Bombyx mori: one gene and its partners. The protein of the gene in region 1 interacts with the protein of each later gene in a biochemical or structural test. Links are inferred from orthologs where the notes say so. Each region holds a gene or a part of one and is shown in the gene's direction. Other genes may lie near its edges.

Region 1 (3,371 bases):
TCCTATAGGTAATTTATGAACAGACATTACCCATATCCATATAGAAAAAAAAATTATTTTATTTCACTGCTCCCTTTAATACCGGATATTTTCCATGAATGTTACATAGGTCGTCCCACGTTGGAGACCTTACGAAATACAGATATTTTAGAACCCGAGGAAGAAGAATTTTATTAAACATTGAGTTGTTAGGTATATCTTTATTGTTAATCTTTACACGTCATTTCGGATCCTCCCGATCCACTAACGGTGCTTTTAGGTACTTCAAGCACCGGTCACCGTTCTCGTCGAACCCGTCGCTTGCGACGAAGGGCTCGACGAGTAAACTAACTCTCAGACACAGCCCACTGAGTTTCTCGCCGGATCTTCTCAGTGGGTCGCGTTTCCGATCCGGTGGTAGATTCTGCGAAGCACGACTCTTGCTAGGGTTCGTGTTAGCAACATCGTCAGGTTTGAGCCCCGTGAGCTCACCTACTAAAGTTAGGGTTACGCTGACATAGCCGCTAGGGCTATCAGCTTAGGTAGGAAAAAAAAAAAAAAAGTTAATCTTTTTCACTTAGGTAACTCATACTATTATTGTGTTCCTTGTAACTTAAGTCATATAAATATTAAACAACCATATTAAGATAGTTAAGTTAAATATAATATGTCTATAATATATCGATGATATAATAACCTTATTTGTCATTGATAACGAGAATTTGTCTTAATACTGAAGATTCTACACATAGATGTTCTAAATTTAATGAAACAAAATTAGACATCTGTTGACGAGTAGCTGACATCACGTCATTTTTAAAACTGTATTAGATGTCGCTGACCGCGGTCCTAAGTGATTTTATTTAGATCTGTTCATTAAAATAACATTTTCACAATAGGTTCATAATAAATACTAATTTGTTTACGAGCCTACGTTTTTCACATTTATCATTTTCTGTCAGCTGAATAAAAAATATACGTTTCATAAAATTTTGAACAGCCTGTAACTCTCATTTTTAAAAAATCATGTGCGCCATTCACTCTCGGTAGAAACGTAAGATTCAGAAGCATATAAAACACAAATATAATAAAAAACAAGTTCCGAAACTTTCGAAACAGTTTTAACAACTTTCATGTAGGTTCTCTTCAATTAAACACGCTTTCCTGTTTGGATTTTATATTAAGGGCTGAATACAGTTCTTCCTCTCTACTATTTTTCTATTACTGACATCTTTCATTCTTCCCTTTTTTTTCATAAGCTCTTTTGCGCCTTCTTCTAAATAGATTGAAGTCTGTATAACAAGACAAGTTAGTTTTAGCAGGCTTCAAACACGGCACAAGTTGTATAACAATGTTGTGTGATTCCTATTCAGTCCCAGGTACTCAACCTAGTACAGAATTTTATTCTTTTAATAAACAATTTGTTTTTGTTGTCTTAAACTAATGCATGTTTATTTAAAAGGCTTTTTTCCAGACATCTATATTGAACGCACCCTATTCTAAATTCTACATTTTGTCTATGTTGGTGAAAATCTATATTATCTGTGGTTAAAAAAAACTAAAGAACACTCGCTTTTGTAGTCGCGTTTATTGCAATTTCGTAGATAAAATGCTATTGTAATTCATTAATATAAGGAAACGTGCCTCAACAAGCGTCGTTAACACATTCAGTGCTAATATAATTAGATATTTTATACAATTATATGAGTAATCGCTTCCATTTGACAAACTGCGCTCGACCGCATATTTAAAATGGCAGCCCTACCACGTAGAATAATCAAAGAGACACAGCGATTGATGCAGGAGCCGGTGCCCGGGATCAGCGCAGTACCTAGCGAGACAAACGCCCGTTACTTCCACGTTATCGTGACGGGCCCAGAGGACTCGCCTTTCGAAGGAGGACTGTTCAAATTAGAATTATTTCTACCGGAGGATTACCCCATGTCGGCACCTAAGGTTAGGTTTATCACGAAAATATATCATCCTAATATAGACCGACTGGGCCGCATTTGTTTGGACATTCTTAAAGATAAATGGAGTCCAGCTCTACAAATACGCACGGTGCTACTGTCTATTCAGGCTCTGCTGTCAGCACCTAACCCTGACGATCCGCTGGCGAACGACGTTGCCGAATTGTGGAAGGTGAACGAGAGTGAAGCTATTAGGAACGCGAAGGAGTGGACGCGGAGATACGCCATGGACAACTGAATAGCCGGCACGAGAGCACCGGTGCCGACCGTGCGCGCCACACGACCAACGAGATATCACGACTTATGAGTGCAAGTTATGTTACACATCCTAAACAGAGTAACTTGTGAGAGACTATTGTGGATCAAATTTTTATTATTAGTGGATGAGGGCCGCGGCGCCGGTCCCTTTGCAGTTATCCATTGCCTCACCTTGTTCGCCTCGGAACGGCTAGGCGATCCCACAGATCATTGTTTACCCATTCACATGTAGCTTGGTTACAATATTAGGTATGCATATTTTTTTACTATTAATATGAATAGTGAATAAAGAAAATATACCTGGAGTCTTCAATGTATATATTATGCTGGTTTAAAATTAATTTTGTACAGAAGATAGTTTCAATTTGCAAAGTTTGATTATCTATGCCAGAGACTTATCGGACACAGTCTTACTAAAATTTGATTGTAACATCATTTAACTGATCTCTCATTGAAATGTTTTTTGTTTTTTTTTTTATAGAACAATGATTGCATTTAGGTATAATTTTCACTTTATTAACCACATCGAACATGATTTCACAGTGAATCTTATGTTGTACTATTTACGTCTTGTATAAAAATTATCAAAATAAATTGTATTTATGTAAATTTTTAATTTGGCTTCGTGAGCAACTTCAAAATACATGAAATACAAAAAGCTAACCCATATTTTATTTTTAGTGCAATACCATCACAAAATAGGATTCATTAAATTAAAATAAGGGCCAAACTCAAGTAGCAATTTACAAATTAAAAGCATTTACTGGAATCGCGTTGATACCTTGCAACATGCTCTTATAATATTGAATACATTGGACCAATGGCTATCAAACTCTTCTAAGTAAAGGGTGATTGCTTTATGGCATCAATAGGCATGATGGTTGTCATTACGTTTAAAGAATCTATCAACAACAGTTACAAAACAAACTTTGAAAAATTAACATCTTTTTGAATTCACCTCTACACCTCTGAATTTCAACTAGAAATAAAGTGCTTATCCATTGATCAGTCAGTGGGTATAGGTTTGTTAGTTCATTGAAATTTAAGTAAAGACACAAGTTAACTGAACAGTTGTCATTGCAACTTAACGAAAATGTAATATCAGAAATGTTGATTGAATGATTGTTTCATATTGAATTAAGCAACCGTGATGACATATTGGTC
Region 2 (4,310 bases), on another chromosome or scaffold:
TTGTTTCATTTTCCCATATTTATCCACTTTCACAAATGCCCACTTTAATAAACCACGGTTATTGCATTTTTAAACTGAAAGAACATTAAATTAACAAAAAACAATTGACACAACTTCGTTCATCGCGTTCCCGCCAATACGGAAAGGTTTTTTTTTTAAAGTGGTATCAGTGACTATACATATTTTCGTATAATGTGTAGGTAGAACTGTACTTTATAGGAATGCTCAATATGAGGGTAGTTTTCCAATTACAGCACAAGAGCGCATTATGCGGCATAATGCTCAACTAAGCTTCAGCATAATTCGGCATTGTGCGTCACTGAGTCGCATTATGCTCTGTAATTGGAAAACTACCTGTATTAGCATTATGCCGCATAATGCGCTCTTGTGCTGCAATTGGAAAACTACCGAGGTAACCCACCAGTTTGATTAATGCAATTGGACAGCTTGTTTTTATAAATTGTTGCTCAAACGTAAAAAAAAACGTCCTATATTTACCTTCATTTGGGTTGAAATGTAGGACAGATAATCACCGATAAAAACAAATAGGCCTTTGTTGGATGCTTGGGTTTCTCAATAAAACTTCCACAATCGATTTTGTGCTTGTATTTCCTTTATACAGGTTTTTGTTAATTTAATACGTTGCGAATGAGTTAGCTTGGCACGGCCATTAATTGAAGTGTTTAAAAATTGTGTCGGTGAACATAAATAAAATTTTGTTCATTGCTCCTTAGAAATTCGTAGGCGTTAACAGCTTTATATAACAACGTCAAACATTTTCTTACTTTAGCTCGACTTTTTTGATTAATTTTTAGATGATTAGTCATTTAATTTAATCTATCAATAAAAAATTGTGATTACATGATCGTTTTCATTTAATATAAAAATTAATTAACTATTTCTAGATTGTATTGGTGTAACATTGCAACATCATTACAGCAGCAATTTTTTTGTAGGTACAACAAGTGGAGCCGCCCTTATGGCTTTTATGTTGCAAGAATCAACTGTTACATGAATCGCAAGTAAATCGTTTTGGTATGGGAATATACAAAATCGATAGCATAACACATCTAATATAAAATATTGTGAAAAAAACTGGTTACATTATGGCATTATTTCTTAATGGTAAATAAATTTTAAATATAAACTTATGTTATGTTTTTATTTTCAATTCCTTCATTTTATATTTAATATATTTTATTTATACTTCATTTTATATATTTATTAGACTTCGTTTTAATTTAGTAACATTTTTTTGGAAAGATAGTTGTCCTTCTAGTTTCACGAAAACGAATCGGTGAGCACGGACGCAATGTAGTAGGTAGGTATTTAAACCCAAATGGTTCAATATTCCTAGGTTTCTACAACTGTATTTGTATCAGTGCATGGGTTTGATTAGCACGGCTACGATTTCATTTACGTAGATTATTAATTTCAAGGAATTTAACAGTAGATACTTTTTGTATTAATTTGCCGACGACATTGTCAATCAACTTTTCTGAACGGTAAACGAATGTCATTTTAGTCATTTGTTTTGTTGCAATTTTCTGTCAAAACATATGTCAGTTGTTATTTGAAAATGGCGGATGATGCATCAAGCAGTAGCGGTATTACCGGTAATACGGTTGAAAATTCAATTAATCAAGATGAATTGATAATGAAACAGCAACGTGAAATAGAAAAAGAGGTAATATATATAATATATAACCAGAAAACTACCTAAAACCATACTTCACACTGAAAACATACTTTGAAATTTGACGTTACTGTTTGTTTGTTTTTAGATATCGGAAACAATACCGTTGGTTGGTGAAATTGAAGAATTGCAGACTTTAGAGAAAGAATATAACGAGGATCCGATTTATTTGCTCAAAGTGAAAGATTTGTCTTCGAAATACAAAAGCATTAGACGAACGCGTCCCGATGGCAATTGTTTCTTTCGCGCGTTCTCATACGCATATTTGGAACGCTTACTGACTGATAAGCAGGAATATGATAAGTTTTACGAAATAGCAAAAAATTCTAAAGATATTCTCGTCGCCTTAGGGTTTTCGCAGTTCACCGTTGAAGATTTTTACGAAACTGTAAGTTGCAACATTCTTTTTGTTTTGTTGACAAGGACGTTTCAAGTTTACGGGTTGCGCGCGAGGCCTTGACCGGAGATTATGGTTTTTTCTCAGAAAATAAAAATTTCGCTGTTAATCATCATAAAACTCACCAGAGTATTGATTTGAATAGTCAGATCATCGAAGATAAGTCAGACATGAATATTATAACATTTAATAGAAAGGGAGGTTAGCATAATTATTTGATTGAAAATTATTGGGGGCAATAAAGCGTGGCTGGTTTAAGCAGTTTTAAAAAACCACAAATGTTTATAAAGCCTGGGTGACTGCCTTAAACTGGAATAGGCAAGATCTTAATGGCTTGTGTAGACAATGCATAATATAACAAAGCTTATTATCTAAACACCAGGAAAGCCCAAAAATATTTCCGAATATAAAAGCTATTAGGATAAATCAATTTTAAGTGTTTGATGAAGACAGTGTTTCTAAGTAATACTTGGACCATATAATTAGATACCTTGATACTATAGAGTTGAGACTTGATCTACACGCTTGAAGTCTTCACACTGTCTTCATGTCATCTGGACTTTTTCCTAATATCAAGTAGCTAATAGTTTGCAGACTTCTTTAGACTAATTTGCAGACTTCTTTATTTAAAATATAATTTAAAAAAAGACATTCAACTTTGTCAATGTAAACTAAAACAACAAATCTAATTAAAATTATAATTTGCAGTTTATGGAAGTAATCCAAAGAGTAGGGGAACATGCTGGTTCTACTCCGGATTTGATAGAAACAGTTCGTATGGAGCTTCATGATAAGTTCAACAAGCAGGGATATTCTGATTACATAGTGGTGTACCTTCGTCTTATTACATCTGGCCAGCTGCAGACAGACCAAGAATTTTATCAGAATTTTATTGAAGGACCACGCACTGTTACTGAGTTTTGTAGACAGGTAACAATGACATAAATGTTTTACAATTTATTTATTTACAATAAAAGGATTGTGCTGCAGCATTTAGGTTGTTTTCAGTAACCACTTAACTTTTTGTACCATGTGGTATTTTGATATTATTTGTATTTCTAACATATGTGCAAGTTAACTCCTCAAAAAGGAACATAATTTAAAATAAAGTTTCTGACTTACTGTTGTGATTCTGCTACATAGTAGTCAGGCTTAGTGTTTGAGGGTAGAATAATAATAAAATGTAATAAACACGATTGTGGATATTTGTTTTGTGAGAGACAACAAGGTTATTGTATTTTTTCCCAAAATATTTTTATATCAATAGTATAGTGCACTAGACTTGAAATTGTTGTTATTGCTCATGGTCACTGACATAGTTCGTCTTGAAATTGGTCCCATGCGTATAAACAACAGATTCTACTTAAATTATGGTTCAAACCACATGTTGTGAATTTGTTTATGTAAAAAAAGGTGACCGTATGTTCCCATAGGGAGCGCTCTATACCATTCGGCTTTGGATTGAGCTCTCCTCCACAATGTTTCCCGAGCACTATGACATTTCCCTCTTCAAATGAGAATTGTGGAGAGTGCTTAACGGTAGGCAGCAGCTTGACTCTGCCCCCGGCATTGCTGAAGTCTATGGGCGACGGTAACCACTCACCATCAGGTGGGCCGTATGCTCGTCTTCCTAAAAGGGCAACTAAAAAAATTATTTTTGTAGTATCGTATACATTTACCATGCAGGTGCCTAGGTTCATTCAGTTGGAAAGAGAACCGTGATTCAAAAATATTTTTGTTAGATCTTTTAATTTGTTATTGCAGGAAGTGGAACCGATGTACAAAGAGTCTGACCATATCCATATCATAGCATTGAGTAATGCACTCAAGGTGTGCGTCCGAGTGAAGTACATGGATCGGGGTGAAGGTAGCCAGGTGAGCAATAAAACTTAGATGCTAGTTACCAAAAAAATTTAATTGTTTAATTACAAATTGTAATGTCATTTTAAATTGAAAGCAAAAATATTTAAATCTGTAAAGCAGTAGTAAAGTACCTACTTCAAAATTGTTCATTCATTTCATTTCAATTCTGGTTCAACCAAAAGAATAACCAGTTTCACAGAAAACTAAAAATATCCTAATCTCTATTATGTTTTGTAAATAGAACCGTGTTAAAAAAAGTAATTGAAGAGCATATTTTTTCTACTTGCTAATGTGGTAATTAGTAAATGTCAAAATTTTTTATTGCAGGTGATAGCACATGATTTTCCAGAGGGT
Region 3 (3,090 bases), on another chromosome or scaffold:
CCACTCACTATGTGAACTGTGAAGAACTGGAAACAATGATGGAGGAGATTTCCGAATCTCCGGCTAGCCTTGGTTAATCACTCGTACCCGCTGCTCCGACACGGCAACGCTCGATCCCATATGGCACAACCTACAGACTCTACACTACAGGCGCTAGGGTTAGATGTTTTACGTTATCCACCACTCACCAGAACCTGCGCCAACAGCTTTCTACTTTTTCCAAAGTTGCACAATTCTTTTTGCAAGGAAAAAATACAATACCCGAGAGGCAGTACAAAATGTCTTTGAAGAGTTTGTTAGCTCCAATGCACGTGGTTTCTTCAAGAAAGGCATTAAAAAATTAGCACGGCGCTTGGAGACATGCATCAAAACCATTGCAACTTTTATTGAGAGAAATAAAAAAATTAAAAAATTACTGTGATTAATGGTTTATATACCGTGATCATGGCGCTTTACAAAAAGGCGAAATTCACTAAAATAAACAATCGTGGTGAGAGCACTATCAATAAGATATAGACATAATCAAGTGACTGGGATTATCCATCAACAGCTTGCTCTGAAATATAGCTTAGTTGATTCTGCTGTACCTTATTACTAATACCAACCTCAGCAGCAAATTCTTAAAAATGGTCATGTAACGCTCTACTGGAATCGATCTATTATCATGGATAGGTCTATTGTTGCCAATAAGCATGTTATTGTTATTGGTCTGCACATCGAGCAATTTTGGTTGATATCACCATCCTCATGACGAGAACCTAGTAAAGACAGGAAAGGACAAATTAATAAAATATTTAGGCCTCATTCACGAGACTATCACCATGTGGCATGTTGATTCAACCATCATTGTTCCAGTAGTTTCAGTACAAAGTTTGATAGTGAACATTTTCGTTATCCAGCTGGGTTGGGGTCTGGTACAAAAATCAGTCATTCTTGATACGGCGCATATTGTGAGGAAGTTTCTCACTCTGGAGACCTAACAGCTTGTGTCGTAGACACCGCCATCGGCGACAATAATCGTTTTATGTAGTGTTTTTTTTAAATAGTTTTTGTAATATTTTTTATTTTATTAAAATACCGTATAATTAATAAGATTTAGATAGATAAGATTTAAAAATACAGTATAATAAATAACACTTTGAAACACAATGAGGTGAACACATTCATATCTGGATGCACTATATAGAAAAGTCGGGTGTTAGTGAAATATGTTAATTCCTCTAATTACAAACGATTTTTCGGGAAAGTTTATTTAACAACTTGGCAACATTGTTAATCTGACAAGCCGATTTTTGGCCTAAAGGTCTAGATACCAGGCCATAATCTTCAAAATAAAAAGCCGATTTTCGGTACTTGTAACACTAATAATGTCAAAAACGTCAAAAAACAAATCAACATGAAGTTTTTAAAATTTCGATTCAGCTGTCAAAAACATAATACACAACCTAACAACTCTTGGTTATTTTTTAATAAAACGGGGTAGTTTAATTTGAAAATGGCTTCTGTGATGGATGTTGATGAAGAAGAAGTTGAAATGGCTTCGTCTAGTAGTGGCAAAGGAGATAAAAAAAGATTCGAAGTAAAAAAGGTGAGGTGCCATTTTGCAAACTCATTGTTGAGCTCTTAATATTGAAAATTTCTTTGTTGTTTCTAGTTTTAATGTAAACAATTTTGTTACAGTGGAATGCAGTAGCACTCTGGGCTTGGGGTAGGTTTCTTGATAATAAAGTTTCGTAACCTCTACATCGTTCTGAACATGATTTTGCTTTCCAGATATTGTTGTCGACAACTGTGCTATTTGCCGAAATCACATAATGGATCTGTGTATCGAATGCCAAGCAAATCAAGCCTCAGCCACTAGTGAAGAATGCACAGTTGCTTGGGGTGTTTGTAATGTATGAGTACCAATTTTGGAAAACACAATCATTATTGACTCAAAACTAATTTATTTAATTGCTTGTTTTTGTTACAGCATGCATTCCATTTCCACTGTATTTCCCGTTGGTTGAAGACTCGACAAGTTTGTCCACTAGACAATAGAGAATGGGAGTTCCAAAAGCAAGTACATTTTATAAAGATATATTACCATATATTCCGTATAATACTTTAATATTGAAATTGGTTGAGTGGTAAATAAATCAATGATAAGGTATCAAAACTTGTTCACATTTAATATAGACAAGATATATTCTATTAATAATATATTTATATTTTTACAGGTATGGTCATTAAATGTCATTTAGAAGAGCTGCATCCTGCACAGGAGTTTGACATCTTCTGAACATAGGGAATTAACATGTCAATATCTATTAAGTTTGTAATAATAAAATAACTCTTACAAAATTCTGTATGTGAATTTTAATTGAAAATTCGTTGAAAATCTGTTGTTCATAATAATCTGGCATAAAAATAGTAAACTCCTATGATTATAAATAAAAATTTTACTTAATGGAAGCAAGTCACTCCAAGATATTCTTGCAAGCACGTTATAAATTACAAGGTAAATAAAAATTACATAAATTACTCAATAAAGTATAAAAAGAATTTTCAGAGGCATTTTATTGTGATATTTATTTAATTATTATTTTACAGTCACTAATTTGTTAACATTGTGGAACTTTTCTGATTTTTATACCCATTCCCAGGGAATATCACAAAAGCTAGTAGCCATAACTAGCAAAATATTATTACTATACTGTACCTTAGTAACATAAAACTAGGCTCATTATGATATACCAAATGAAAGTTTCAATGTTCTAAAATATTGTGAACCACATTTAACAGTCTGTTGTAATATTGGTATCCAAACCCCATTTCATTTGTAAATATTTCACAAAATACTTCATATGAATAATGAATAGTAAAGAAACAAATATTATTTTTCATATAAGTCACTGGCAGATATTTTAAAAAATGCTTAGAATCAAGAGAAGTATTAGTCAAAGTACAAAATGCTTACTCAATTTTGGAGATAAACAAGAAATTTACAAACAACCAACAATCAATACCACAAATTTGCAAGCAAATTTCAAGGTTCAGTTCACATTACACTTTGGCTTCTCTTGATTCATTCTAGTCCTGGACGCTGGC

Evidence for each region.
Region 2: the proteins of Ubc13 (region 1) and ubiquitin thioesterase otubain-like form a complex in vitro, tested with the Homo sapiens proteins (6 studies listed by BioGRID and IntAct, with this or other methods). The link is inferred for Bombyx mori from reciprocal best matches to the Homo sapiens genes UBE2N and OTUB1.
Region 3: the proteins of Ubc13 (region 1) and ring box protein form a complex in vitro, tested with the Homo sapiens proteins (5 studies listed by BioGRID). The link is inferred for Bombyx mori from reciprocal best matches to the Homo sapiens genes UBE2N and RBX1.

Annotation. Positions count from the first base shown.
Region 1 is NC_085111.1:2,343,188-2,346,558, forward strand, and holds Ubc13 (ubiquitin conjugating enzyme E2), read left to right. Parts: upstream 1-1,505; 5' UTR 1,506-1,731; coding exon 1,732-2,187; 3' UTR 2,188-2,867; downstream 2,868-3,371. UniProt on the Homo sapiens protein: The UBE2V1-UBE2N and UBE2V2-UBE2N heterodimers catalyze the synthesis of non-canonical 'Lys-63'-linked polyubiquitin chains. This type of polyubiquitination does not lead to protein degradation by the proteasome.
Region 2 is NC_085118.1:933,365-937,674, reverse strand, and holds the start of ubiquitin thioesterase otubain-like, read left to right. Parts: upstream 1-1,486; 5' UTR 1,487-1,579; coding exon 1,580-1,687; intron 1,688-1,784; coding exon 1,785-2,084; intron 2,085-2,801; coding exon 2,802-3,023; intron 3,024-3,857; coding exon 3,858-3,968; intron 3,969-4,283; coding exon 4,284-4,310. UniProt on the Homo sapiens protein: Hydrolase that can specifically remove 'Lys-48'-linked conjugated ubiquitin from proteins and plays an important regulatory role at the level of protein turnover by preventing degradation.
Region 3 is NC_085119.1:7,172,419-7,175,508, reverse strand, and holds ring box protein, read left to right. Parts: upstream 1-1,436; 5' UTR 1,437-1,495; coding exon 1,496-1,588; intron 1,589-1,680; coding exon 1,681-1,708; intron 1,709-1,773; coding exon 1,774-1,895; intron 1,896-1,972; coding exon 1,973-2,058; intron 2,059-2,219; coding exon 2,220-2,232; 3' UTR 2,233-2,566; downstream 2,567-3,090. UniProt on the Homo sapiens protein: E3 ubiquitin ligase component of multiple cullin-RING-based E3 ubiquitin-protein ligase (CRLs) complexes which mediate the ubiquitination and subsequent proteasomal degradation of target proteins, including proteins involved in cell cycle progression, signal transduction, transcription and transcription-coupled nucleotide excision repair.